Linked DNA regions of Oreochromis niloticus. The main gene of each other region encodes a partner of the protein of the gene in region 4 in a complex. Links are inferred from orthologs where the notes say so. Each region holds a gene or a part of one and is shown on either strand. Other genes may lie near its edges. The genes, in order: MICOS complex subunit MIC26, apool, micos13 and chchd3a.

Region 1 (6,603 bases), on a different chromosome or scaffold from region 4:
AGCACTGAGCTCTGGGTACTCCTGTATGGAGTTTGCATGTTCAAAACTCTTCCCACAGCCCAAAGACATTAATGAGGAAAGATTCATTGGTAATTCTAAATTCTCCTAGGTGGGACTGTGACTGTGAATCTTTTTTCAGTCACTATATATTAGCCCTGCTGGTATAGGCTCCAGTCCAGTGAAAAGTTGTATAAAATGGCCTCAAAAGACCTGAATTCAAAGATTAATTAAGCTGTTTACCACATTAAGATGTGTACACCATGGAAGTCAGTAATAACAGCTACATTAAGTTGTTGTATTGCAATATGCACCATGAATGGTAAATGTTATGCAGATAAAAGATTGCTTAAAAATAGATAGTTGCAGGTATCATGTTCAGTGTTCCTCAAAATAAGGGTTTCCCCAACCTTACACACAGTACGCTTGCATAATGGTGAGCAAAGGCTGAATACATCTGTACATGTTGTATGTTTTTTGTTTATTTTTATCAAATTTGCAAAAAATTCAAAGTAATTTTTTTCATGTTGTCATTGTAGGGTATTGGGTGTAGAAATTTCAGGCGAAAAATGAAAATAATCAATTTTGGAGTCAAGTATTTATTAGAAATCCACAATTTAACAGTCATAGAGGCTGTGATGACACAAACAATAGCTTAAACTCACAAAATTCATGAAAAAATTCATGTTTTTGCTGATTATTTCCCAATTCCTTTCTGGTTTTAATCCTTAATGTGTCAGTTTGTATAATGGTAATTGCTGCTAAGTCATCCTTTTTCATTGCATATTGATAAAATCCATAGGACGCTTCATTAGTAGAGTCACCTCCAGTTCCTCCCTCTCACTGAAGAACTGGGCCTTGCTCTCATTTTTGTGGACCGGATCAGGGAGATGGAGCCCCAGTTTGCTGAAAACAGATGGAAAGGCAGGTTACAAAAAACAAGTAGCACTCAGGGGGGGATGATATACTGAAAGACATTAAGAGTTGTGTGATAAAGCAATCAAAGCTCAGATCTTGGCATGCATAAGCCTCTAAGTCTTCAGGGAATTAAAAATGAAAGCTTACATTTTCAAAGGATCTCTTACTATTTTGGCGTCCGTAGATCAAGGAACTTTTCTTTCACATCCAGCACCACATCTGTTGCTTTAGTGTCTGGTAGTTTGATTTTAACCTACACGTGAGGGAAAAGTTAGCATCTTTATTATTCTACACTGTTCACATTAATATGTTGTTAGTTGTTTCCTGCTTTGAATATAACTTCTACTTCTACTTCCACTTTTTAAAGGTTAACACACATTACACGTGAAACATCCCAGTTTGAGACCTGAAACAGCTAGTGTACTATGTTGATTTCAAAGCAGGATAAATGGTTGCATCATGAAGGGCATCCAGCATAAAATGTGTGCCAAATCAAATATGTGGATCTGCTGTGGAGATCCTTCCAGTAGTTGAAAGTACCTAAATAGTTGCTGTAATTATTGTGCCATATCGGTGATTATTCCAGAATCAAGCATCTTACTATGACCAATCTAAAAGAGTGAATGGATGTAATCTCAATATTTATAAGTGTTTTAACACAAAGTATTTTAAATACAGACTCCAATTATTATTTATTGGAAATATTTTTACATATGTTTTAATGCATGCTCAATAATACAGGTGAGGAAATCCCAGAAAGTTGATTCTTTTCATTTGGATTTCAGTAGGAGAAACACTACATCACCCATCCAAGTGACTTTGTTAGTCTCAGCTAAATGCAGGTTTCTCGAACCTTACACACAGTACGCTTGCATAATGACTGAAACTAGCAGCATTGCTTAACAAAGAGCCAGAAGGTCTGTGAATAGTCCTCATGGCCACTGAAGAGTGGTCATGACAATGCGTGTTCTGATCATGAAAGCAATGGTGCTTCCTCTCATTATGCTACTGTATTGTTTATAAGTTTGGGGGAACCTGCTGTCAGCTGAGACTGAAGGAGTAACCCGGGTGAGTGATGAAATGTTTCTCCCACTGAAATCTAGATGAACAAAATCAGCTTTATAAATCTACAAACAAGACTTTTGTTTAGATTTTGTTTAGAAGATTGGAAGTTAAAGACAATGAAAAAAACACCCTGATCTATGATGTCTTCTTTGTAATTTGTTGCTGATCAAAGTATTGTAAGTCAGCAAGTCAGTTCATCTGTATTTTGGAGTGAAAATGATACCAACATACTAAAACACACAATTCCCTTAAATATACATAACATTTCATATTTACACAAAGTAACAGACAAAGACAATCTTAGCAATTTGAGAACATTTTGAAGTATCTGTCAGAGATCAGGTGAACAGTAGAGGAAAGATAAGCACTATTAGAAGCATTTAAATATTTTTTACGTATATAGAGCCTGGTCACTATAGGGTTAACCTGTCTCACCTGTGCTCCTCAACATTTTTAGACTGTTCCTTTCTAAAGTCTAAAACTAACTACGTCTTCAACAGAATTATCTGAAGCCAGCCAACATTTAATAGGAGATTCATGCCTTGCTGCTCTTGATCACAACCTTGTGCATTTCATTTTAGTATCAAAAAAGTGCACTGAGTGAAGTGTTAAGAAATCTTGTGACACTTGGCAAGTTACCAGCATGGCTTCACAACACATGGAGGATGGATCCTTTCTGCTTAATCCCAAGAAGAGATCCTCTGTTCCTACACTTTGCTTCAGGATTATTTCATACCTGCACACAGAGATTATAAATGAAGCAGACACACTAAAACCAAACACAATAAATATCACATTACCAGACATTACCTTGAACAGAAGGAGACTAAACTCAGAAACAGACAGTGTTTGAAGAAGTATGAGGACTCTTTTGAACCTTTAAATATCCACTTTTCATAACGTTTGATGCTTTTTTACATCCACTGTTGGTGTGTGTCTCTTTCTGCATTGCAGTCTTACTCAGGTTGTGGCCTTGGGTCAGTCAGATCATCATACTGTGAGCCTTCGGCCACTTCTTCTTCACACCAGATATCTTTGCTGTTCTTCTTCGTGTATGCGGTTGACACTAATTAAACAGTCACATAAAGAGAGAAAGGCAGATGCAGAAAAAGTATGTATGCTTGAATAAATACTTTTATGGAGTGCTTATAATTGAAAAATAGTACCTTGTTTTTCTTTTTTGGGTGGGGGGCCAATGTGTCCGGGACCCAAGCGTGCATATGCTTTCACATCCTGTTAACATAAACTAATATTAGTGTGGGGGAGACTTGGCTTAATGGTTACTGTAGTTGAAATACAATGATACATATTCTCTCCACTTTATTTTACTCCATATTCCCCCATTGGTCCTCCCTGCCTACACCTGCAGACTAATAAACCTTACACCACTTTTCTAAATACCCTAAAATGTATATTTTATTGAAAAATTATTTTTAAATGTTCATTTTGCTAGTGTTGATTGATTACCCTTGCTATATACATAGGATTAAAATTTTGCTTGTTGAAAAATGTAAAGAGACAACAATTTCCGAGGAAGATACTAAAAGCTAGTGTTAGCAGGGCTTTAACATGGATGCATGTAGATCTTACTTTACACTCCTCATCTTCCTCTTCTTCGTCCTGCTGACTGGACAACAAGGCAGACAGAGCCTGGAGGCTCTGTTCGGAAGATACCCCAAGACAATCCATTCAGAAAAACAAAACAAATAAACAAAAATAAAAATAAAAAGCGCAGCGGACACAAACAAGGAGGAAAAAGCTGCTAAACTATAAGCAACTATAACAAAACAATTATTTTAATTGGTGCTAGTATACTAATTTTAGCAGCTCACGTTTGGATTGTTGACGCTTTCTGTTTCCCTGGAGACGCCAGGCTTTCCTGCTGCCATGGAAACCAGTGACGTCGAACAAATTACGTGGCCAGAGTCACGGTTACGCAGATAGCCGTGAGCTAAGAAGCCTTGCCAGGGAATTTCTAATATAACGATCTCCTCTAGCTCTCTTTTTTTAAAGCAGCTTTGAGAATAATGCATACTGTACTGTATACGAGAAAAACTAGGCACTGAGAAAACAAACAAATAAACAAAAAGAAACAAAGATGGTGGTTTTAAAGACATGTTTTAGGACAGAGTTGTATAAGAATGAACGACTGCTTTATTAATGTAATGTCCCACTGACTATTTGAATTTAACTGAAAGGTAATTCACGTAATGGTTTAAAATAGGTGTCATAATTATGCCTGAATGCGTTAGCAAGATGGCTGCTGGGTGACTTTTATAGGACGCTGTTACAGGCTAAATGCTTGTACTGTAAACAGCTGTTAAAACTGTTTAAAAAGAAACATTGGAGAAAAAAAATAGTGTAAGTGATGCAAATACTAATAATTTAATCCAGTTTAGCCTACCTCAGGTAGCAGACCTTGCCTTAGCTTTGACTTTTACGTGGAATATTTGAGTATCATATTATGAGGGCAGTGGATCAGAACAGCAGATATCCCAGTTAGGCACAGAGGACTTTATTGTAGACTACTAAAATAAAGCAGCCTGCTTAAGTCCTCATTCTAACTTCCTATTTGAAAGTTGTCATTAAAAATATAGTTCGTATAGTGTATTTAGTTTACCCATACCTTCACAATCTACCTTTAACAAGTATGTTATTCCTTTTTTGCAACGTTATTGATAACGAACCCATTCAAACATATCCATGACAGGCAGTCAATTTATGGTGAAACAACGCTTTGTTTTTAAACTGCATATCTTTGGAGTTCCAAATGAAGCATGGTTTGGAGATGTGGGCACAGACATCATTACTATCTGTAAAGAAAGCCTTGTCCTCACAGATATACTTTATTCCTCCTGCCACTGTTGGCGCGCTTTCAAGAGTAGTAAAAGCGTTTGGGTGAGAATCAGAGAGGCGGGGCTATCTGCCTTGTCCCTCCGTGGATACCGTAGTGAATGCATGGCCCGCGGGGATCATGTTGAAGGTGACAGGTAGTGCCATGCCGGGAGCCCTGCGATTTTCACCGTTCACCGTGTTTGCTGCTGCCGGTGACGGCGAGAAGGAACCAGCGGTGGCGGCGGCTTCGTTAAACGTGGACGAACTGTCTCTGTACACCGCTCCCCCGGAGAAGTTTCGGTACGTGGAGCCTAAAGCGGGGCAGCTGGAGGAGCGAGTCGCCACCCTCAGGAAGTTAGCGGAGCCGTACACTGCTTGGTGTCAGGTCACCTATGAGAAAATTAAACCCAAAGTTCAGGGGGTCTTCCAGTTTGGGAACGACGCATACGCCTATGTGAAGAACCCCCCGAAGGACTTCTACCCCCGTGCGGGAGTCATCGGCTTTACCGGAGTCCTTGGCCTGGTTCTTGCCAGAGGCTCCAGGATTAAGAAACTCATCTACCCGACCACTCTCATGACCCTGAGCGCCTCTCTCTACTACCCGGAGAAAGCAGCGGCCATCGCAAAGTCAACCGGAGACTCCGTGTACGACTTGGCCGTGCAGAGCTACGCAGCGGCGGAGAAGATCCTAAACCCCCAGAGCAAAGCTGAGAAGGTCAATAAACCCGAAATGAGCAGCGACTCCGAGACCAAACAGTGATGACCCCGGCGTGACTGCAATAACCGAGCAGTAGCCAATCACACAGCAGCTTTATCCCGATACTGTAAACTGAGCGCTTTCTAGACAGCGTGACTTTTTCATGCCTACACTTTGCACTAAGCTTCACGTGAAACTCAGGCCGGGCAAAGGGAAGGGGGGGATTTGCAACTTGAATGACTTCCTTCCGATTTGAATGTGTATTTATGTAGAGATAAAGCAGTATCTTACATTAAAGTTGTTTTACCGCCTTGATTCTGTGTCCTGTAATGCCACATGCACAAACAAGATGGTCAGCACCAAAGAGAAGAAAACTAATTCAGGATTTTAATAATCAGTCGTTTATTTTAAGTTTTGTTCAATGGGGTGACAAAGACCAAAGTAGGCAAGTCGCATTTGATCTGAAATTGTGTATTAGTTTCAAGTTTTATTTGTCATATACAGGTAACAATTATTATACTCACAGATTTTAAACATATTGTATAAAATAAGTTTTGCTAAAAAGTCATAATCCTACATAAACTCAAAACATTTGTAGTACTAAGTACTCATTAGACCCATTTGCATTATACTGCTCAGTAATGCTCGATATCTCAGCTTTATATTTTAATGCTTTTACAGTAAAAACTTCAAAGTCATTCTAAAGCTTTAAAGTAAATGGTATGGAGTAGAAATGGCTAAAATACTGTTGAGTGGAAGTAGAAAACAGCATGACCCAGAAGTACTTAGAAGCACTAGTTAAAACGACATACACACCCACCATCACATCACCTACTAATTAGTAAAATCTCAGCTTTGAGTTGAACAATTTTGCTATTGCCAGCTTAGGATTTTGAAACTGGATACGCCAAAACAACCAGTGGTTCAGTCTGAAATTAAGTCCATGCTCATTGGTTAGCAACTTGTAAATAAAATGTTATTAGCCAATGAGCATTTCCTGGAAAATCATAATTTCTGACTTCTTGACCAGAACTTAGTAAATTTAATGTTTTATGAAATATAACTAGTGACTGAGCTCACAAATGATCAGG
Region 2 (7,952 bases), on a different chromosome or scaffold from region 4:
TTGGACAGAGAAGACAGATGGTTTGAAAGAGGAGTGAAAGAAGCCATTTATGTCCACTGTGAACGACCATCCTTGAACTGAGGCGGTGGTTTATGACACCAACTGTCTGCCATCTATAATCCAGTTCTGAGATCCCTTCCCAGACGCCTTAACGCCCACTCGCATCCTGGGCCTTCTGACCTCAGGAAATCACATGATAGGGTGGGGCTAGGTTTCACAATGAGCTCACCCAAAACCTTGGCTGCTTGTGACCTACACCCGTTTTCACATCTTGGCTCGTGTGATGAGGTAGAGGATCATCAGGGGGTTCTTTGTCCACTATTTGACCTTAGAACTGAAGGAGCTTCTCGGATGAGAGTTGAAACGTCTTCAAGCAACTTAAAGAAGTCCAGACGCTTTTCTTTCTAAGCTCCTTAGACTTAGTGTTAAAAGGGAGTTTTTCCTTCCCACTGTCGCCAAAGTGCTTGCTCATAGGTGGTCATATGATTGTTGGGGTTTCTCTCTATTATTGTAGGGTCTACCTTACAATATAAAGTGCTGTTGTTGTGATTTGGCGCTGTATAAATAAAACTGAATTGAATTGAATTGAAAAATAAAGATGTAAAAAAGCAAGATTTCCCCCCTTCATAATACGGCCCACACTCCGAAAAGTAAGATGCAAGATGGGGAAATAATGTTTTTCTGTAAAATTAACATAGAAGTACATATTTACACAATAGTTAAAATTACTTACAGTGTAAGTAATTTTCTTGACTGACATGTTACCCCCTTATTCTAGTCAACGTATTTATAGATAAACATACAGCAATTACATTGTAGTTTCAAATGAAATACATTGAATTTCCATTTAATTACAGGGGAACTACATCCTTTATCGCAGGGTCTATTATAAGTGTTACCAGGTCGTTGGTTTTTTTACACACAAAAACAAACGTGAGGTTTTAATGTGGTAACGCTCTTCTCCTACAGGCCAAAGAGTCGGAGCTAGCAGTGATCTGTTCCCTCCTGGAGGACCCTGGCCTGTGCTCCCAGACCTTCAGAGAATGGAAGCAGTGGCACGGCGAACTCTTCTCAGACATCTGCCAGCTCAGCCCCGGCACCAACGGCCAGGATGACCTCTCCCCGCTGGCCGCGCCTCTCATGACCCACACACACTCCTTCATCGAGACCCACGTGTGAGAAAGAGACGAGAAGCGAAGGCTGAACTGACACGCACACGCAAACACACACACGCGCGCAGTAACACGGAGCTTTACATTAGCTAACCCTCTGTCCTGGTTACGACTCTGAGCATGCACACACACACACACACACACACACACACACACACATTGTAAGATGTGTAAATATCATAGAGGGAACAGTCCTGAGACCTGCGTGTATGAACTTTTGATAATCCCGAGGACCCCACAGGGTGCCTATTGCATGCCTGAACAGAAAGCATTAATCTTCCTTTGTCTATGGATCTCAGCATAAACGCCACACGCTTGTCAAGCAAAACGGGGGGAAAAAAACAGACTTTTTAACACAATTTTTTTCTTTTGTATTATCTTGGTTTTGCTTTTGCTTTTTTTCTGCTTTATTTTAGGGGTAAGGGGGAGCTATGTAGCAGCAATACAGAGGAAAACCCTTTTCACCACAGCACTGTACTTTTGTACTGATGAACTTTGCACCCAGAGCCACCAGTTCTCCCCCTTTCTCTCTCTGTTTTTTTTTCCTCTTGCGTATCTTTTTGAGTTACAGGGACCTCACTGTTATTTCAGGCTGATCTCACGGGACAGTGCGGGGAAAGTAAAGTGTGAGACTGTGAGAGGTAGCCAGCAATGTCGGTTTATCAGCGAGAACCCCTTTGCGCTGGCCGGATTCATGTGCTGAAGGAGGCTCCTCTGAACGAGTGCAGTTCTGTTGGCATCTTCTCTTCCTCTCGTTTCTCTCCATCACCTTCTCTTTTCTTAGCGACTTCTTTCTCTAGTCCTCAAAGACTTGTGTATATGTGTATACTGCTGTGTATACTGATGTAAATGTTTGCGTTCCACTACCACTGTGATAGGCTTCTAGAGGTAGCGGAGGGAAGACAGAGAGTATGTATTTGTGCGGGTGCAAAACAAGTTTATTATTATTACTTTTTTTGGTTTCTTTCATAGTTTTTTTTCCTTAAACCGTGAATGCAAGAGCTTAGAGAGTTCTTTTTCAGTCACTCACTACAACGAATGCACTTTCTATATCTCTATATCTCATCGGCTGCATCACAGGGTCTACGTGTCATCGGCCTCATTACCATTGCTGTTCAAATATCAGGTAAAAGCATTTGCCGTCTCATTTTCTAAAGATTTGTGTACAGTCTACAAATATATTTAAACATAGAAGACTATATAAAATCTATTTACGTTTTGTGTCATAGATATAATGTAAAGTATGATGTATTCTATGCCAAGGTTCTGCAGTGTCCCCCTCTTCACTCTGTAGATGCAGGGTGTTTAGCAGTTGAGCAAATAGGAGGCGACCGACAGCCGTCGCTGATGGTCTTTACTGGTTTACATCACGGCTGACCATTCTCTGGGTGGTGCGTTGCATGAGACAGAGGCCTGGGACTGATTTGAATGGACAGGGTAAAATACTGTGGATCATTTGTGTTCCTTTTTTTTGTTCCTTCTCACAATTGCAAGATAATTAGACTCGTAGCGCAAGATAGATGCAAAAGTACCGTCGAAGGATGACTTTTTTTTTATGTGCTCGTAGCTTTCAAGTCTTTGCTTTTCATTCTGCAGTGTTTAAAGACACGTACTGTACCATGAGAATTAAGGGAGGTTTTTCCTCCTCCTTTAGCATCCAAGCAGCAGGTTATAATTTGATGTTTGGCTTACATAGAAGACCGACCTGCATCCTAAAGAAGCTTACACCTTACTCCAAGTGACATCACTGCAGTTGCTTCCAAAGTGAAAGCTAATTTGACATTCCCTCTAAGCATATGGTTGATACTGGGCAGTCACAACCTCTGCACTAAACGGTCTGTAATGTCTGTGAAACCGGGATGAATCATTTCATCCGCAATATCAGGCCAAGGACTCAACGGTGCCCCCCAGTGTCGAGGACTCCGAGAGACACGTGTAGCACCTGCTGCATCCAGCACTGTCTGTACTTAGTCTTCATATTTTACTGTTCTTCTTCATGAGTTTTCATCATGTCACACTGTAGTGAAATATCAAACGTGCCCCAGAGATATAGCTCATGTTATTTGCCTGTTTTTTGTTTGTTTTTGTTTTTTTGCTAGTTTGTTTTTTAATGATTAATTTGAGAGTAACACAAAGAAACTCAATGATGCAAGCACTTTCCCTGTGCCTCCCAATCCTCTCTTTGGCAACGAAAGGACTGACTATTTCCGCACACAGGCACGCACACACACACAGACACACACACGCAGCTGTAGAAGAGTTACAATACAGTTTTAGTCTGCAGACCTCTCTCTGTTTGTCATCTGTAGTGTTGGTCTTCTTTCTCCAACCGCTGCTCTGCCGAGCAGGTGACATACTGTAGATTAAAGGAGTTCTGAGAGTTTTCATTTGTAGGCACCGACTGTGTTATTCCTCCCGAATCTTTTTGTGTGTGTAAACCTGCAGAAACAGGCCGAAAAGGGAGATTCCACTGTGTGTTCTTTCAGGGGTGTACACCTCATGGTACATTGCACAGGTGTGTAAGATGTAAGTTGCACTGCGACATTAAAAAAAAGGAACATATTGCTCTTTTTCAAGGATAATATTAGCTTACTGTTATTCTGTACATTAAAATGACTAAAGATGATATTAAAAAAGAAAGAAAATTACATTTATTCTTCCTAAAGTAGCCTTTTTTGGTTTCATATATATGAATATATATTACAGAAAATACAGATTGTAAACCTAAGTTGTTAAACTTTGACTTCAATAAACTGAATCCTCTGCACTATGGCCGGTTAATGTTTGCCTTTCCTCTGATTTATTGAAAGAGTTTTGCCGTGTCTTCTAATTAATAACAGTTTCAAGTTAAGGGCAGGAAGCCCTATGGTATGCTGTGCAACCCGTGCCATCCATCTATCCATCATATCTTTGTCAATTTATAATGTGGTGGGCAAAAGCTTTGTTTCCAGGCTGTCACTTGGCTGACACACTGACAGCCCTTCACACTCACATTTGCACTCTTTTAAAGATAATCTTTATTCTGGATTCATTTCTTGGGGATCTATAGCCTTGTTGGGGCCTTACTATTGGAATGAGTATGTGCACAATTGCCTAAACAGATTCAGCATATGAATATAGAGAAGGTTTTTTGATACTGGAAGCTTCCATTAGTAGTCTGCTTGTACTCTCAATACTAATAAAACAGGTTTGAGCAGGCTTTGGTTGCCTGCAGGTAAATAGTCCAGGTGGAGAGCAAAAGAAGGATGCTGTTGAAATGCAAGACATAATCAGCAGCTATTCCTGATGTATTTCCATTTGTAAACAATGTTGCAAACCTTAGCATAGATATCTAGTGGCTTCACCGGCAACCCAAAAATTAATTCCTAGACTGATACTGTTTCATCAAATCCAGTGCAACATGTGCACCTGGGCTATTCTGGTGCAGAACTTTGTGTGTGTAGGTTGATTTCTGACTGAACACATCTTAAAGCTCTTGTGCACAAAGTTAAGTAGTACAGTAAATTTTCTTATATATATTCACTTCATTAAAACTAAACTAAATGTGGAGAAATCCTGTGGTGCTGGAACATGTGGCCCCCCCAGGGTCGATGCTGGCAATGTTTCAGCAACATAAATAACAACTCATTTACATGTGAAACTGCGAGTAGGAGTTTATTTTTATTTTAATTACACGTATGCAAATGTACAAAAGCAAAGGTCAACTGTACGCTCAGTGGGTGAGCAACATGTGGACTTAACTGACGAGTAGGATCGCACAGCCGAGCTGCAACTCCCACTTCAGCCCATTAGGTGGCAGTAGCCGACCGCGGAGTTTTTTGGGCTAGACTGAAGCTGTAACCAACAGAAGAAGGGGGAGAGCGCTGTCATGGCGGCCAAGGTGAATGCATGTCATTTTCTCTTCAGCAAAGTTTTTAGCTTTTATTACAATGACTTTTCAATGAAAGTGTAGGCTGTGTGTTGGCGTCAAGTGCCCCGTAGCTGCTAATGTTTACTTGTTCTGGTTGTCACCTCTCAGGCGTTGTTACGCTGCACGAAAAAGCTTTGCTAGCTATGTGTGCTGTGCTAGCTTCGCTGAATGACTCCTAAAAAGAATACACGGAGGAAGGTTTTAGCAGAGGTTACGTCTTTAAAAGTTTGCAACAGCTGTTTAACCTTAATAGCTGTCAGTCCTGCCTTTGTTAGCTTTCTAGAGCCACATTAAGCTACAACACAAACACAGTCGGTAAGGGTAACGCTAGCATTAATGTCAGTTAGCTTAACTAGTTGAAAACAGTTTGTACACACAAAACAAAGGGAATAAACTCAGGATGTATACTTAGAAGTTCATTAATGCAGTATAAATAAATATTTGAAAGACTGGAAAAGCGGTGGTTTGAAATATATTGTGGTATTATTATTAATTCTTCCACTCAAAGTCCACGAAGTAAGCTGTGATAGTGACGTGGTGTTGCTTTGAGCTGACTGACACTACAGTGTATCCCCCCCCCCCCGCCAGGTGGTAATGGTGGCCGTCCCGACTGTGCTGGGAATAGCCTCCCTCCGTGTGTACTCTGTGAATGAAGCGCCCGCTGATGGGCTGGTTACTCGAGAAAAGGTGTGTATTCATGATTTATATGGGATATTGCCATTCATAGCCATAATAACACACCAACTCTCTACCTCCCTTTCCCCAGCTCAACATCTACACCCCGGTGTTGCAGTCTGCTCAGGGTAAGTTTGTCCCAGAGAGTCCGGGGGTCATCGAGAGTGGAGTGACTACAGCCAGACAGACAGTACTACCATTTGTGCACACTGTAAAGGTATTCACGTTTTTGTTTTTTTTTGTCCCGTTGTGTACATGTAAAGCTGCATGTCGGAAAAAATCTCATTCACATTCACCGTCAAGTACTGATGTAGCTCATGCTTTCACATCCTCTTCTGCACTTTTAACACAAGCAGATGGTGGAAACATGTGTTTATATTTAAACGTATGAGAGCTAAAATGCACCAGAGAACTCTTATCTTGCACCTGCGAATTTAGTTGACACCACTATCTTTTTGCTGCTCATTGTGGTTTACAGAGCACAATCCCACATGCTGCAAGTGCTCGGTGCAGGAAGGATTCTTGCAGGTTTAGGAGTTAGACAGGAAACTGTGTTCATGCAGTTTAACTTCACAATGTGAAGTTACACTGCATGAAGTTTGCTGCAAGAAGATTTGACAGTTTGATTCTGTGAAACACGGGTTGTTGGGTGGGGGTGAGCAGTTAGCACTGACTCACATGTATCTGTTTCAGTGTTGCTTAAACAGGCATGTTCTTGATGAACTTTTGTAGTGGTTTCAGTTTAGTCTTCTGTTCCCTGCAGGGTGCCTGTATCTCTGTGAAAAGGGGAAGTATTGATCTTTACCATGCTGGAGAAGGTGAGTAAACAACAGGCAAACAACAGTCTTAGTTACATTGCACCTAAATATAAAATTTCAATAATAATAAGACATTTAAAGTTTTCAACATGTCACAAATTTACGAAGTAAATATATTTCAAGGGGTGCTATTGATGTGACATTCTCACCAGGTATCTGTAACAACCCATCCATTTCACACATGCAAAGAAATCAAACCACTGATGTCCATTAATTATGTGTAATAGCGAGAAATGACACCGGGAAAAAGTATCAAACGCATGAAAAGGGTGGTGCAAAAAGTTGTGGAAAGTCATGACACTAGATGAAATCAATCCTGCCACTTGTGCAAAGTGCAAATTAATATCAGCTGGTTCATCACCAACTGATGGCCTGTAAGGAGGAGTCTCATTACTAAGGTGTAAAACCAATGAGCTCTCTCAAGGCCATTGCAAAACATACCGAAGAATTTCTAAACTAGTGAAGGTTCCAGTGAGCAATCCCAAAGTGGAAAGAACATCATGTCACCATAAACCGACCATGACCAGGTGCCTCCTGCAAGATTTCAGACAGAGGAGTGAAAAGAATTATCAGAAGAGTTGTCTGAGAGTCAAGCAGCCCTAGATAGGTGCTGCATATCACCCCCAAAACACCATACCAACAGTGAAGTTCAATACTGTGTGTACAATACTTTCTCCCTGTGTCATTTCTCATTATTACACATAACTTAATTTATGGCCATCTTTGGTTTGATATCGTGGCATTTGTGGATTGGATGGGTTGTTTAACACAATCTGGTCAGAATTTCATGTAAATAGCACCTTTAGAAACATATTTAATTTGTGATGTATTCAGTACATTTTTTTAAGGAAGCTGAATGTATTTTTGTCAGTATCTTGATTTCTGTTATCTGCTCCTCAGATTTATACTATTACCTGAAGGACCCTCCCCCTGGTTTTCTGCCCAGATTTGGCACCATCACCGTGGCTGGCCTGCTTGGCATGTTCTTGGCACGGAAAGGTAACTCGACCTCACAAACAGTTTAGGCCTGCAAGAAACGTTTTAATCAGTTTCTCGTATTAAATAAAGGAAAATGTTTGAAAGAGTGTTGGTCTAAGTGTGAACGGTTGTCTCTCTGTGCCCTGCAATAGACAGGTGACCTTTCCATTGTGCCATATTACAGCCGGGATAGGCTCCAGCCCCATGTGACCCAGTAAAAGCATTGCATACGACTATAACAAATGTGGCATACGCAAACACTGCACACACAGCAAGATTTTGCTAGTAAGCTTTTTTTTTTTTTTTTTTTTTTTTTTTTAATTTGTTCATTTCAGGCACAACAATAAAGTTGAACATAAAGTGCACAAAAAACAAAAACAAACAACAAAATGTACCTGA
Region 3 (7,753 bases), on a different chromosome or scaffold from region 4:
GATCAGGAAATCGACAGCTTTGCTTCTGCGGTCAGCTTTGTGGTCACTTTCATGCTCTGGTGGGTATTCTTCAACTTCCTACCAAAACTTAGGCTCCTTCCCCAATAAAGATGTCCCCACGTCCCTTACAGCAAAAAATCCTGGCACAACTTCACCTGCTTCCAAGGTGCATGGAGAAGATGAAAGAATTAAAAAAGCAGGAACTCCAGCAACACTTGAGAAACGAAGAACAGCTTTAATAATTGACCAATGCGTTTTGGCTTGTGGCCTTCATCAGGGTCCACGTCCCTTACACCAAAAAAAGCCAACAACTGGACAATCAGTACTTCTGACTTTGACTGGCGCCCAATCCAGAAAACACTTTCCCTCTACAGATTCTCCTGCAGGTAGTTGACCCATGGTACAAGACCATTTTGGGCTTGTTTTAGTTGAGCTCACAAGAACTTATGGCCCAGCCACCTGGTGCACACAAACAAGCTCCAGAGTGGGTTATCAACTCTTGTCATCATAATACATTAAGTTAATCTTAATTACTGTATTACCATCACTTATTTATCAGTTGCAGTAGAAAGTGTCTTTAAAAAAATGTCAATTTAATTGTAATTGGTGGGTGAAAGTATTAGGAGGTATATATGTGCACACATACAATTTGTATTTTATAGTTTGTCATCATCTGCATAAAAAAGCATAAAGTATAAAAATGCTGAAGAAGTATAAAAACAAACCTACCTAAGAGCGATGAGACAACAACCAGTGATCCTTTATTTTGCTCAAGGGAGGGCAAAGCTTTCCAGGCCATCTGAATATAGCTGAAGAAATTGACCTTCACAAACAAACATTCATGAATCAGCATAGTCTCTCCATTTCCTGTTTTGAATGACCATCAAAATGCTCTGTTACCTTCATCAGCCATTTGGTGTGATCCACATCTCCCTTCCACATGCTGAAGGGGCTAGGCCCAATGTGATTGAGGACCAGGTAATCCAAACCTCCCAGCTTCTCCAGAGCATAATCCACCACTTTGTCAGGGTCAGACTCATTCGCCATGTCTGCTGCTATATAAAAAGCTTTCTGGGCTCCTAAGCTCAGACACTTTTCTACTACCTACAGGCCAAAATCATTAAAAATGCACTTGGTTAGTTTTATGAAAGAACTAAAGAATGTCTCTATTCATGACTGGCACAAAACAACAGAAGTAAATGGCAATCTATGAGCAGAATTTCAACCAATAACCTGTTATTACGTAAACTGACCTGCTGTAAGACTTTCTCCCTCCTTGCTGTGATAACAATTTGGGCTCCAAAGCGGGCGTAATGATACGCCATTTGTTCACCAATACCTGTACTGGCCCCAGTCACCAGTACCCTAGCCCCTTTGAGAGAATCTGAAACAAAGTTTTACCGTATTCAACATGGAATGGAATTGTTTTAATACATGAAAGGTTTATAGAAACAATAAAAATATGTGTTATTTCTATTAGTCAACAATAAATAGAGTAAATGACCACAGTAACTACTGCATACATTGTTAATGTGTCTAAGCATGCAGAAAAGGTTTTTAAGTGAACTTGATGACAATGAAATAGTTTAGTTTATCTAGAATCATTCTTTAGGCAGATATATACCCTAAAAAGATAAGCTAATCTTAGTCCTCCATTAGAGCTGGGCGATATAAGATTTTTTCATATCACGATATGTTTTTTCATTTCAGGCGATAACGATATATATCACAATATAAGCCAAATAACTATATTTGTAAGATTTAAATGTGCCGTTGCTCACAAGTAAAATGTGAAATAATCACCAGCTTGTTTTGATTTAAATATTTATTTCCCATAATAAGTTCAACAGGGTAGATGTACTTAAGGAACATGAGACTTCAGTTTCAGATAAATAAAGGCAAATATTACAAACTACACAAAAGGCAGCCGCTAAAGCGTTTAAGTTTCAAAATAGAACAAACAAAACAGACTACTAAATTGTCAGTTCCACTTAGAAACAAAATATTAATTCTAAAAATAAATCTTAGTTTGTTTTACAGACGAACAGACAAAATTTACTAACTTTTGTCAATATCAAATAAACTGAGAACTAAAAGGAAATTCTCAATCTCTCCTTGTTGTATAGCTTAGCTTTTCAAACAGTTTTAACAGTTACTTTAGTCTGACAAAAGCCGAATGACGAATTAGCGCTTTCAGTCAGAGATTGAGCATGCACCGCTTTATTGTATTTCCAGACTTGCTTTCGGCACAATTTACAGTGCGTGCTACTCTGTTTTTTGTCAGACTTGAAATAGCCGAAATACCTTCACACTACGGAACTTCTGTGGCCCTTCCGTTCGACAATCTCTCCGGTATTGGAACCATCATCTGTTTTTTCTTCGGTAACCTTCGCTCACGCTCTCGGTTGATTTTTCTCTAGTCAGCAAACTCATTTCCTTCATTACCTGGGCAGCCCGGCTGCAAAAACAAATATACATGTGAGCCTTGGCACTTGTGCTGTACGTATCAAGTCACGTGACGTGACGCTGCAGCTGTGATTGGTTCGGCTCTGCGCTACTTAATTTGGATTGGCTGTTCTTTTTTTTTTTTTTAAGAGGACAAGAGAGATGAGGCCTATCGCAATAGTTTATTTTTTCTATCGAGAAAAAGTTATTTCGCAATACATATCGTTATCGTTCTATCGCCCAGCTTTATCCTCCATATATTGCTTCAGGTCAAAGGGCATTTGAAACTTTTCCATCTTGAGAAATTGCAAAATGCATACTCTTCATTTGGACTAGTAAAATGCTTGGATATTGTGTTTATTTATTTATTTCACCAGAATTTCCATGCTGTATTTTGTTTTTGAAGGTCCCATATCACTCGTTTGTTGCTTTAATTCTTTGCCTGGTGCTATGAACATTTAAATATCCTGCAGGTTTAAAAATTTTCACTCCCCATGCTGGAGAATGGAGCCATATGTCAGTACCCTTTTCCTCTCAAAGGTTTAGCTAAATGTGCAATCAACTGCATGCTCTCCCTCTCTCTCTTATTCCACTTCTTATTCCCATGAAGGGTTAGGGTTCATGAAGCAGCCATTCAAACTGCATTTTATTACTAACCAAAGCAAACACAAGGCATCTGAAACAAATCGTCCTGCGCTGTCGTACATTTGTGAAATATAGGCATTTAAAAAATGTGGTATTTCATAAGGTTACAGTGTTGCAGAGTAGAGCACATGGGATATGCAAGTATACATAACACTAGTCCACTGACATGGACCGCATAATTTCATTGCTTGTGGAAAATTGACTCTACAGTGTGTTCTCAAAATGTGAATAAATGCAGGATTCTCTCTTTGGTAAGGCCTTGGTCACAAGCGGAGAGCAGAATATCATCAATTACTCGCTCACTTTGTGCTGTTTCTACTAATTTTCTTTAACAAATCATTAAATTGTTACTATTACCTTTCCAAGTTGGCAGTAATACCCACCCACACCATAAAACTGCCTTTTATTTGTTAACAATGTGGCATGTATTAGATCACAAACCTTTTTTTTTCTAATATAAATTGTTGGCTTAATTTTTTCAGATTTTATGTATCCTTTTTTTAATAGCAAAGTCTGACCTGGCATTTTTACTCAGAATTCTGATATCTGCTGTTGTTTTTGTTGTTTTCCGGGCCTTCTGTACATTGTTTTTTTCAAGAATGTAACTGGTAATTTAAACATTCCTGTGGTTTCTGGGTTTATAGCTCATGTTTTTGCTTTTTCAGCCTTTGATTCCATCATTAATTCTTCGAAACCCATATTGAACATGCAAATTGATTTCTTGGACTCAACTTCAGACCTTTTATCTCCTTAATCTGGCTACGCCTGGCCATAAAGCCTCATATAAGTTACTGGCCCGGGTGCTTTTGAGCTTCAAAAATTAAATCAAATATTAAAAAACATCAGTTTCGGGGTTGACTGCACATGTGATAGATGTCTATTAAAAACAGACTTCATATGTATAACAAACAATGACTATATGACTATAATAATGAGGTGTTACCAGATACTAAGTTATAACTACGACATAACCGAGTAGGCTAGCTAGGATTCCTGCACATGAGTCTTCCCTTTTTCATGTGAAACCTTCATTTTTAAGTTAAGTAAAAAAGTGTGACTCTATTTAGCTGTATTTACCTAATACATTGCAAATGCATACCACGCATATGTTTGGACCACTGTAGGCCCAACACCTATCACATTATTGTCTGCTGGACAAACCTGCATGCCTGCTGCAAGTTTGCAACTAAAAACAAGCAAGTACTTTCTCACAATGACAAAGAACAGAGTTTACCGGCATCAAATCTGGGTGAAGTCCATTTGGCAGCCAGGAAAGCAACACATATACTAGCTAAAAGAACTTTTGTGACAGCGCCCATTATGACAATTTGGTAGCAGCTGAGCGAAAATGCTAAGCTTTAGAAGTTTCTGCCAACTTTCACAATCCCAGTTTGAGAAAACAAAGTGCATTTTATGCAACCCACTATTTCTCCCCTCCTTCCACTTTGTAAGGGGCGGGGGTTGGTCAGACTGGCCTGCCCTTTTTCATGGACACAAATCATTTTTTTTGTTACTTTAATGCTTTTAAAAAATCTATATATTTTTTTAATTTACCAAAGCCCCAAAATCTTTAATTTATTTGCCTATAAATTTATAGTTTAAAAAATCAAGGCTGACGAATCTGCGCCTCCGAAATTACATCCGCCCTGACTTTTGAAACAGCAACTTTATTTACACAACACTGGTGCACACGGATCATCAAGCAGGGTTGTCCTTCAGTGAAGCTAACCAGCTAGCCTGATCTACGGCTCATTGTCGGAGTTCTCGCAATAACAGCTTCTTAAAGGAGAATAGACCGCGCTGAACGATGGCGACGAGGATTTGGCCTGTTATGAAGTTAGTATTTTTATTTCAACTCCCGCGGTTTCGTATACTATCACTTGTCTAAATGCTCTTATTGATAATTAAGCTAACTTAGGCTAAGCTAGCTGTCAGTCATACCAGGTCATTTTCAGTTGTTTTCGTTTTAGCTCCAATATTAAGACTTAAAATATGCTTTTCTTTATGGAGTTTAACGTTGGGCTGATATACTAACTTTCTGCAATAACGTGAGTTAATGTGGGCAGTTGTAAATTTCCCAACTATTAACTGATAACTTAGCATCAAAGAATAATTTGTTGTTTACTTTGATAATAACTACGTGTGTCTGTAGTTTCAGTTTGCCCTGTTGGGAAATTGGGGTATTTCAGATTAACTGCATTACTGCATCTGTTCTTTCATTTCCAGACTGGCCACCAAGGTGACCATTGCAGGAGGAGCTGTCTATGTTGCCTATGACTCTGGTCTCTTGGGGAACAGTGAACAGGGCTCAGAGGCTCTGCAGAAGGCCAAAGCAGTAATCCCACCCGCCATGGAGGAATGGATGAAGTACTTTGGTGTGGAGGTACAAGATGCACGTCATAAACAACTAGGTCTTCCTGGATCAGTGCCACTAGGCCTAATACAACATAAAGTAAAATGGTTTTAAAAAGTCATTGCATTAAATAGATCAGTGCTGCAGACAGCAAATTTGATGACTCATACCATAAATGTGTAGAAATTTCTTTTTGCTTTCTAGCCTTTCTCTTATGAGATCAGAAACGCTCTAATGAATACATAGTTACAGTACAATCATGACATCATAAACCTTTGTGAGGCATGTACTTTGATTCGTGGTAATGTATGCTGCAGACCTAACTAGCTCTGGAGCAGGTTGTGGTCTGGGTTAGAGCTCATCAGGTTGAAAATATAGTCAATAGCAATTCTAACAATTCTTCAGATTCTCCTGTGTCTTAAGTCTGGTAACTGAGACTCACCAGATTTAAGACTAAGACTTTATTAAAGTAAATATCTTTTCCAGCATTACTGACCAAAGTGCTTAAAGTGCTCATGCTCATACAGCACTTTTAATACTACTGGACTGTCCGTTTCTTCCCACACACACTCACACCACTCCTTTAGCTTCAACACTGCTGTTGCTATATGCCTGTATTATTTAATCTTTTCAAATTTTTCAGATATCATAGTTGTAGCTTTGTAAGATCCACCCATGTTTCTGACTGGTCGACTGCTGCCAACATCTTGCTGAATACACTCACAGCTAGATTTTTTTAACTCTGGCTTGGCTTAGTCGATAAACACCTTTGTAATTCTGCTCATCATGGTTCTCAGTGTTATTTTAATTGAAGTCAGATAATGGAAAGATATCCAGGAAATGCTGAAATTGCTTCATAGTACAGGTCCTAGTTCTTGCTGACAAATCAGTTCAAGTGATTAAAAAAAACAAACAAACAAAACAAAGAAAAGAAGCAAGAGTATTTATCCATTTCTTACTTATGATTTTATTCACGAACTCCAACAAGCAAGTTTTCACTTGAAACAATGTACAAATGTGTCTCCTCCTCATGATTTTATTTTAAAACCTGATTTGTTTATTTATGCATTTATTTTTTTATTACTGTTTTGCACTGGACAGAATAGTAGTTGTATTGTCCAGTTATAATAAACACTAATGCAAACTAATGCACCTTATCCCTCTTGTCAGGCTCAGCTTCCAACCATACCTAAGATTGAGTTCTCTCCTGTGGACGCGTGGAATTCTGGTAAGAATTCAATTATTTGTTCCTTTTTTAAAAAAGCAAGGGTAAAAATTTACTGTGGTCACAAGTTTTGCACAGACTTTCTGTTGTGTATTTCACTTGTTACATGCAGTAATAGTTTTAAAATTGTTTGGAGGCAGTAGTTTGTTTTAAAATAATTTTGGTATTGGTATTACTTTTGGTCTAGACCCTATATTGACCCTGATTTTTCAGTATCTAAAACCCAAACTTCTCTTTTTTCTTTTGTTGCAGGCGTACGGTGGACGATTTCAAATCTCTCTGAGGCCCCGACAAAAGCCACTGAATACACAAGTCAGGGGCTGCAGTACTTGAAGGACCTCACAAAGTGAACATGAACTCTCTGGGCAGCCTCACATTATCAGTCCTTTTGACTTTTGCACTTGACATTACTTCTTCAAATGTTGAACCCTGCCATAAGAATGAAGCAACACACAACGTCAAAGAAAACTGCTTGATTAAAAGATTAAAAGCAAGGAGTGTACTCTGCTGAATGGGTACTGTGGTTTTCTAACTGATAGTGGCCTTTGGTGGGAGATGTACATAATGGGAAGAAAATTTTATTTTTAAGAAGGCAATCTTTCATTTTGTGTATACCTCAAAATTGTGTATACCAAATAGTTGCTATCAGCACTGTCCAGTAGAGAGTGTTATTCTGCCCTCACCTTGCCCAAAAAATGTTAAGAATATCTGTATGTGTGTGTATATATATATATATATATATATGCAATTTCACTATTTGTGAGCAATATATCAATCTTAAAAGATTTTGTCTCATCTTTAGTTTGATCTATCAAGTCATATAACATAAAGTGCTCGGTCGACAAAAAGACCATACAAATGTGCAAAAATCTTTATTAATCATGACAATAATAATGACACAGTTTACTGCTGATTCTGCTACAACTTGAAAAGAGGGGGAGATGACTGAAAGCGTGAGGAAGAGCACACGCAGCCATTTATGATCGGTTGACTCCACTGTACACGATGCAGACACACTCCACAGCACCGCGAGCGGTGATGTTTAGTGTCATCCTTTTCTTTTATTTAAATGTAAGAAAACATTA
Region 4 (7,383 bases):
CGTGAAAGACGGGATAAACTTCTGTAGAGCAAAGGGGAATTGCATGATTATTCTCTGTGGCTTCTTAAAAGTTGATTAGGAGGTCCCTCTTTCAAATAAAGTGTTAATTGATCCATTACTAATATAGAAATATTAATAACAGCCACATGAGTAAAAAGCACGAGTTTAGCCTCATAATCATGCTATTTTACTTCCAAACTGCATGAAGGTAAAGGAGGTATTATGACAGCCTGAGCTTCACAGTGACGAGGCAGAATCATCGCCCACTAATTACAGCATCAATTTATTAGCATTAGTACAAGTTAGAATTAATCATTTCATTAACAGTTAGGGGATGGCAATGAATCACAATATGACCGAGGCTACTGTGGGGCCCATTTTTTTAAATTAAGACTGATTACAATCTGCATGAAAAGTTGGGAGGCAAAAAGCTTAAGGTGGTTTAAAGTAAACACCCACACAATAAACATCATTAAAATTCACTGTATATGGACAGCTGAGTCCCACATAGCCTTGGCTTTGCAGTTAAGCATACAGGTAAAGAGTGTCCGGTACATTTCATAATAAAATGAGTCACTCCCAAAAACGAATTTTTTTTTGTTTTTTTACTACACTTCCATCGGTTATAAGAGGGAAGAGAATGAAGTTTGCAGAGCTGCTTCATAGGTCAAAGATTACAACTGCATAAATCTATAAAAACTGGAACACGTGTCTGATCTTTGGAATAACTAGCTGTTTAAGTTAGTAATCAAACCACATCAGCTTCCTTCTTCCTCAAATTCTTTGGTCACTTTTGACATTGAGAATAATAGCATGCTTTATATATTTATTTTTGTATTACCAGTAGTGATTTTTTTGAAGAAAACTGGAATAAAAACTCACCAACTGATGCAGCAGGAGATGGTGGGACTGGTTTGGACTCGGGCACTGGTTCAACTTTGGGCTGAGGAGGAGGAGGAGGAGGGGCAACTGGTTCACAAGGAGCATTAAATTCAGGCAAGGGAGATGCAACAAATGGCTTGGCAGGCTGTGGTGGCATGAAGTTGACAGACTCGAAAACAGAAGGGGAGGAGAGGGGTTCGGAGTCAGTAAGAGGGGGAGGAGAGGTGATTGGTTCAGCCTTGACAGGAAAAGGGGGTGATAAAGGCTCAGCTACAGATGAAGGAGTAAAGGGTTCAGCCACATGTGGAGGAGCAACAGGTTGAGCAAGTGGAAGGGAGGAAGCAGTGGATTCATTTTTAAGAGGAGATGGTTCACCTACAAGGGGAGGAGGAGGAGCAAGCGGGGCGACTACTTCCACTACAGCTGGAGCAGGGCAGGGGGAAGGAAGCAGGGGATCAACAGGAGCAAAAACAGAAGCAGGAACAGGAGAAGGTGTTGCTACAGGCTCAACAGCAGGAGCAACAACGCCAGCGGCAGCAACAGCAGCAGCTGGGGGAAATGAAGATGGGGGAACTATGTCAGCAATGGTGGGTGCTGTTACCTTTTCTACGGGAGGTGGAGGTGGAGGTGCAGCCACAGACTCTGTGGCAGACTGAGGAGGAGCTGGAGGTGCAACAGGTTCAACAAGAGGAGGAGGGGGAGGAGGAAAGGAGGTGATGGGCTCAAAAAGGGGAGGCACTGGCCGCTGAAGAGGAGAAGCCGGAGCTGCTGGGGGTGATGGAGTGGTAGTAGGTTGTTGAGCTGCAGGTTCCTTCATGCGCTTAATGACATTTTCAGAAAGCTGCAAAGTAGAGTGGAAGAAAAGTTGAACACTTAGATGAAAAATTAAGATGATATCACAATAAAGGCATAAAGCTAGGGCGGGGATAGCTCAGTAGGTAGAGTGGTCGCCCCATGATCGGAAGGTCAGGGGTTTGAATCCACTGAAGGGCTACCCTGAGGTACCCCTGAGCAAGGTACCGTCCTTACACACTGCTCCCCGGGCGCCCAGTGGCTGCCCACTGCTTCACTGGGTGAATGGGTTAAATGCAGAGAGGAATTTCCCCACAGGGATCAATAAAGTATACATTAATACCACACTTTATTTATAGATTTCACTCAAACACAATATAAAGTTAATAGAATATTTAGTGGGAATTTTAGGGATATTTTTTACTTTTGGGGTGGATGGACTGGCATGGGTTTTGCCTTGTTTTCAGTTTTCACGCTCAGCTATTCAGTTTTCAGCTCTGAAGTATAAATGGTATCAATCTTCTGATGCAGCTCTTGGTAAGATAAGAAATAAGTGCATTCCTTAAATGCTTAACTATGTTGTTGCTGCTCCTATAGAAAGCTACACATTGTGTTTATTATTTTTAGATAAGCACCAAAATAGCACTAGTCTCGGCACGTTGGCTTAACAACTGAGTAATAATAGACAGAGCCACAGTCTGATCCGCTCTGCTCTGTATTTATCACCAGCTGATCAGTGGTATTATTATCTACAACACAGCCATACGTTTGCAGCCGACAGGAGAGCACGAGGCAAGTGACGTCAACATTCCGAAAAAGCCATAAAAAGTTTATTCAGACTAAATCTCAAAGCAACTGCAGGGGTTACTAACCACACGTTTGCTTCTTCTATGCTTCATGAATGAATGAAAATAAATGAAAGTTTCCAGGCTGCCAGGAGTCTGCGTCATTTGAGCCACGTAGCGCTTTTGATAGCATAAGACTGCACTTCCACTCCAGAATGCTTTCGGATTACACAGCATTGGATTAAGGCAGCCATGTAACACCTGTTCAACTAAGGTCCATCATATCACTTACCCGTATGCCCTTCACCACCGTTATATTGTCGTTCTCGTCTGATTCAAATGACACGCGGCGGGTGCTGTTGTTTGCTCCCATAGTCAAACGGCAGCTCGTTAACAAATGTCAGTTATCTGTGTCTCATGTAAGAACACAGAAGTGCAATTTGCTTTTATTTTTGGACAGTTTACTTCAAGCCAGGTATAGATGGCTTCACTTTCACCACTGCTTGGGATTCTTAGCGCTTCCTGAACTCGACGTATTTGAAGAACACGCGAGTCGATTGGACAGAAGCGTCATTCGGCCATGCAACAGCGACTTTCATTGGTTATTGATTTCACGTGGTAGCGCGGGATAGTGACGCGCAACATTGCCTGTCATAATTTCCTGTCAGTTGTGTCGCTGTTACAGTATTGTAACTGTAGTAGTGTATATGACACTATAGAGTGTATCTGGGACAACATACTGTGTCAGTAGTTGACAGCACAAAACATTTAGACAACAAGCTAGTACTGCAAATTTTGTAAAGACAGGGCCAGCATATGCAAATAACCATAACAGTACTTTTAACCTATAGAGACAGCTTCTATAGCAAAGAGCAGTGTGTCATTATCTATAAGATGAATCATCATTCATTCTCAAATGTTGAACTACTGAATTATTGTGATTTACTGTGCATGATTACTTTCCACAACCATTAGTTAATACAACAAAACATACCTTTCAACTTTTAATGTTTTTTGAAACTGAGGGTTTGGGGGTTTTTTGGAGCCCTGAGTGTAAATGTGCCTGTCTCTAAGCACTTTGGGTCAGTTTCTGTTGTTTAAATGTGCTGTAGGCTATAAATAAAATAGATGTGACAGTCAACACATAAAATACAGATGTTTTTCATGGTGCATATTTTAAGGGTTTTTTTTTTTTTTTTGCATTTCCAAAAAACACATTTATTTAACACAGTACAATTGGCTACATATTGAACTTAGAGGACAGAAACAATCGTAATCCTATTGCAGTGGTATCGATCCAATACAAGTGCCAGGGTTGGTATTGATATTATCGATAGTTGGATTGATCCGCCCACCTCTTCTACAAGCCCCATTTAAACATACATTCATACAGCCTTTAATTCTATACACTTTAAGTACTTTATTTACCTCTCACTCAAGGCCTAGAATTACAAATTAACCTAACATGTGGATCTTTAACATAATCTGCAGTGTTGTGAAAAAGTGCTTGTGTCCTTCTATTTTTATTTTGCATATTTTTTATTCCTATGTTTCACATCTTAAAAGACATTCGAATATCAGACAAAAATATTTGAGTAAATACAAAATAAAAAATTAACTGTGATATTTTTGTAAAGCTGAGTTCAATTTCACTATCCAGACCCAAGTTGGATCACTACCAGACCTGTTGAATCAAGAAATCAAGCAAAGTAGGCTAAAACATCTCAAAAAGGGACCCACCATGCCACAATCTAAAGAAACTCTAGAACAGATTAGAGAACATTAACTGATATCTATCAGTCTGGAAAGGGTTATTAATCAATCTCTAAGTGAGTGGCTAGTCTACCAAAATTTGTCCAAGAAAGCACTGATGACTCAACAAACAAAACAAAAACAGAGTAACATCTAAAGCAATGCTCACAAGACCTTTGGGAATATATATTTGGAAAACTAACACATAAAAAGTAACATCATGCCAACAGTCAAACATGGTGGTAGTGTGATGGTCTGGGGCTGCTCTGCTGCTTCAGGACCCGGATGACTTGCTGTAACTAATGCAACTGTAATTTCTCCTCTCCACCAGAAGATCTTTATATTATATTATTCATGTCCTGTTTCCTCTCTATGGCATCAGCTGAAGGATTTTTTCCTTCTGAGCTCATATGTATGCTGGTAGTGAGTTTCATTTACCTCTGAAGAGGTTCTCTCAGGGTAAATATCATTGTCTTTCCTCTTGTAAACAATCGTAGTATTTTTATAAATGTAGTTAATTTTCATTTTCCTTATCTGTAAGACTATTTGTTTTCTAAACATCCCTGAATAGACAGGGACAACCTCAAAGTAGGCTAATTAGTTCCCATTAATGTAATAAAAGCAGTCGTGATTTGCTCTTGTAGACTGTCATCCCACAAAAGACTACAACGGGGGCACCAACTCAACTTGCTGGGTTGAGCATACGCCATAAGGCTAACTTTGAAATCCATCCGAAGGTCATTTACTGCTTTTGTTTCCATAGGTTTTCTCACAGTTTTCCTGTTTCCCCTCCACTGTCCTATCAAATAAAGATTAAAAAGAAAAAGACCACAATCATTTCTAATTAGGTATTAAAAAAAATTGTATTCTGGGGGTCATTTCAGACTTTAGAAACAAACAAAAGGTGTGTGTGTTTTTTAACCAGCTAGAATTGTTAAAAATGCTGAAATGTCAAATTTTGGGTTCTACATGAAACTTTAACTGCATAATTAAATCAACAGCTAGGGTTAATAAAAAAGTTTTTTATTATTATTATTCATTCACATGTTGTTTAGTTCCTTTTTGAAAAATACTACATACCATATCCATTTCAACAACTCATACAGCCTTGGAGAACATTACATTACAGCTGGAAATCTGATATGCCTCCAGAAGAGAGGATATTATGAGGAATGACAGCTCATAGGAATCCTGTAAACCTGATATATTATATACACTCAATAACGCAATACAGTCTTTATAAATCTGTTTCCTGACGATTTTGGTGTTTTTGTGTCTTCTGGAATGCATATGCTGCAGATGTACAAACATAAATCAATGAAAATCTGTTTGGAAATTCAACCGTGGCTGTGTATACTCTGATATTACTGTGAAATTTGATATACACAGAGGGTTCATTCAGCCCTTTTACACAAAATAAACCTTGATCAAATACATTATTTCTTAATATAAAACAGTTTATCATAATGACAGACAGTATTACAAAAATCGCAAAATGGAAAGGAAAGAAAATATATATAGCGGTAGGAAGATTTTTTTGAATGAATTACAGCAAAGGGTATCAGTCTCTTCATATTATGAGGAATATCTTGAGACAGAATCACTTCACAACAGACTCTATGAAGTGGTTTTCCAACACTGAAAATAAAGGTTGTTTGGTCAAGATTGGGATATGATTGTTATCTGGAGCTGTGAGGCATTTGGCATAAATCAACCATATTTGGAGTAGATTTGACTTGTTGTACCTACTTTAGTAGCTACTATGGGTTTATAATATATCACATAGCGAAATAATACCTACCTTTTCCATCATCTGTGATTTTACTCGGTATTAGAATGTATTTAGTCTTGTCCTTGCCCATGGAGGCATTTCTCACCACTACAAACACATTATGCAATAAAGACTTACAATGTATAGCAGCACCCTTAAGGCGTGCTGTGGAGTGCCTCAGGTTATGTAGAAAGAAGTGCTTATAGAAATAGATTTAGCTGAATACAACATTTTTTTCCAGTCACAGCATTATTGTAGCAAGCAATACTACTATTTCAATTGACTTTAATACAGAGCAATAATGATCCTTGCTTATATGGTTAATTTATTGTTAATAGCTCAGTCATTCACCATATGCAGCAGAATGAAAATGCAATGTCCAGCGTCCTTTTAGGTGTCTCATATGTTAATACCAGCTAGATGTAAACAGAATCTCTGTAATTACCCACCTTGTTTTTTGCACCATTGCATCGGTTTATGCAATTATGTGAGCTAGTTAACATTTGTTGCTTTAAAATTCGCAGCGGTGCACCAAGATAATGGGCAATGTTGCTGTTATTGACTGAAAAACATGCTGCATCAAAGAGCAAATCTTTCCCTTACAAGATGAGCTCCAAAACTCAAGGGTAATCCCAGCAACATATAAAGGTGAACACAAATAGAAAAGTTTCTTTATTCTTCTAACCTTTATATTATTGCTGCCTTTCCCCCCACAGTATTAATACTTTACCTTGACCTTATGATGTTTGAGTGGAGTTGGGGATCCATCTTTAGGTAATTCAATTTCTCTTTGTTTAATTTCTGCAGAGGTGAGTGGTCTGTTTAGAAAAGACCAGATGATTCGATGATGCGAAGCTCGTGTTTTGTTTGAAGATGAGAAATCTTGAAATTAATCATGAGGTGAAAAATAGATTCAGTGTTTTACTGTCCCACCCTCCTACACCTCCGCATTCCCATGGAAACAGGTAGCTAAAGAAACATCTTCTTCTTAATCACCCAGAGATGACATTTTGTTAGAAAATTCCAAGTTGTGTAATTGAGATGTGAAAATAAGCTTACTCTGTTCAACCAGCCTTCTAATCTTTGCTTGGAATTTTTCTCAGGATAATTAGTACAGCTATTATCATTCATTATCAGTGACTCATCTGGTAATTAGAATCCAAAAATGCCATTTAAATAGATTCCTGAGCCAAGGACATTATTTTTTACTCACAAAAACAGTATGTTTCTGCTAAATAGCTTGTTTAGCTTGCATCATTTGGTGTTGCTTTAAGAATCACATACATTCACTGTGTGTTAAAAATCCAAAATTTGTTTTGGAAATGCTGTGGTATAATTTTTTTAAAGTGCTATCCAAGTCATATTTATTACACATTAGCTGTATTAATGCAGCATTTAGAA

Evidence for each region.
Region 1: chchd3a (region 4) and MICOS complex subunit MIC26 share a complex: the UniProt entries of both Homo sapiens proteins name them as parts of the mitochondrial contact site and cristae organizing system (MICOS) complex. The link is inferred for Oreochromis niloticus from reciprocal best matches to the Homo sapiens genes CHCHD3 and APOO.
Region 2: chchd3a (region 4) and apool share a complex: the UniProt entries of both Homo sapiens proteins name them as parts of the mitochondrial contact site and cristae organizing system (MICOS) complex. The link is inferred for Oreochromis niloticus from reciprocal best matches to the Homo sapiens genes CHCHD3 and APOOL.
Region 3: chchd3a (region 4) and micos13 share a complex: the UniProt entries of both Homo sapiens proteins name them as parts of the mitochondrial contact site and cristae organizing system (MICOS) complex. The link is inferred for Oreochromis niloticus from reciprocal best matches to the Homo sapiens genes CHCHD3 and MICOS13.

What each region holds. Positions count from the first base shown.
Region 1 is NC_031982.2:27,116,930-27,123,532, forward strand, and holds MICOS complex subunit MIC26, read left to right. Parts: upstream 1-4,867; 5' UTR 4,868-4,954; coding exon 4,955-5,575; 3' UTR 5,576-6,103; downstream 6,104-6,603. Other genes in the region: dnaaf6 (dynein axonemal assembly factor 6), read right to left, coding at 774-903, 1,083-1,168, 2,620-2,716, 2,941-3,046, 3,147-3,213, 3,571-3,639, 3,813-4,097. UniProt on the Homo sapiens protein: Component of the MICOS complex, a large protein complex of the mitochondrial inner membrane that plays crucial roles in the maintenance of crista junctions, inner membrane architecture, and formation of contact sites to the outer membrane.
Region 2 is NC_031966.2:31,495,252-31,503,203, reverse strand, and holds the start of apool (MICOS complex subunit MIC27), read left to right. Parts: upstream 1-4,932; 5' UTR 4,933-5,040; coding exon 5,041-5,052; intron 5,053-5,670; coding exon 5,671-5,769; intron 5,770-5,848; coding exon 5,849-5,974; intron 5,975-6,520; coding exon 6,521-6,575; intron 6,576-7,475; coding exon 7,476-7,574; exon of another isoform or gene 7,575-7,602; intron 7,603-7,952. Other genes in the region: si:ch211-26b3.4 (connector enhancer of kinase suppressor of ras 2), read left to right, coding at 970-1,179. UniProt on the Homo sapiens protein: Component of the MICOS complex, a large protein complex of the mitochondrial inner membrane that plays crucial roles in the maintenance of crista junctions, inner membrane architecture, and formation of contact sites to the outer membrane.
Region 3 is NC_031986.2:33,823,079-33,830,831, reverse strand, and holds the start of micos13 (MICOS complex subunit MIC13), read left to right. Parts: upstream 1-4,752; 5' UTR 4,753-4,897; coding exon 4,898-4,926; intron 4,927-5,316; coding exon 5,317-5,473; intron 5,474-6,613; coding exon 6,614-6,671; intron 6,672-6,920; coding exon 6,921-7,018; 3' UTR 7,019-7,753. Other genes in the region: hydroxysteroid 11-beta-dehydrogenase 1-like protein, read right to left, coding at 730-823, 901-1,104, 1,254-1,384, 4,325-4,409. UniProt on the Homo sapiens protein: Component of the MICOS complex, a large protein complex of the mitochondrial inner membrane that plays crucial roles in the maintenance of crista junctions, inner membrane architecture, and formation of contact sites to the outer membrane.
Region 4 is NC_031981.2:11,470,559-11,477,941, forward strand, and holds the start of chchd3a (coiled-coil-helix-coiled-coil-helix domain containing 3a), read right to left. Parts: upstream 3,008-7,383; 5' UTR 2,833-3,007; coding exon 2,752-2,832; intron 2,689-2,751; exon of another isoform or gene 2,625-2,688; coding exon of another isoform or gene 2,547-2,624; intron 1,724-2,546; coding exon 1,484-1,723; intron 944-1,483; coding exon 883-943; intron 1-882. UniProt on the Homo sapiens protein: Component of the MICOS complex, a large protein complex of the mitochondrial inner membrane that plays crucial roles in the maintenance of crista junctions, inner membrane architecture, and formation of contact sites to the outer membrane.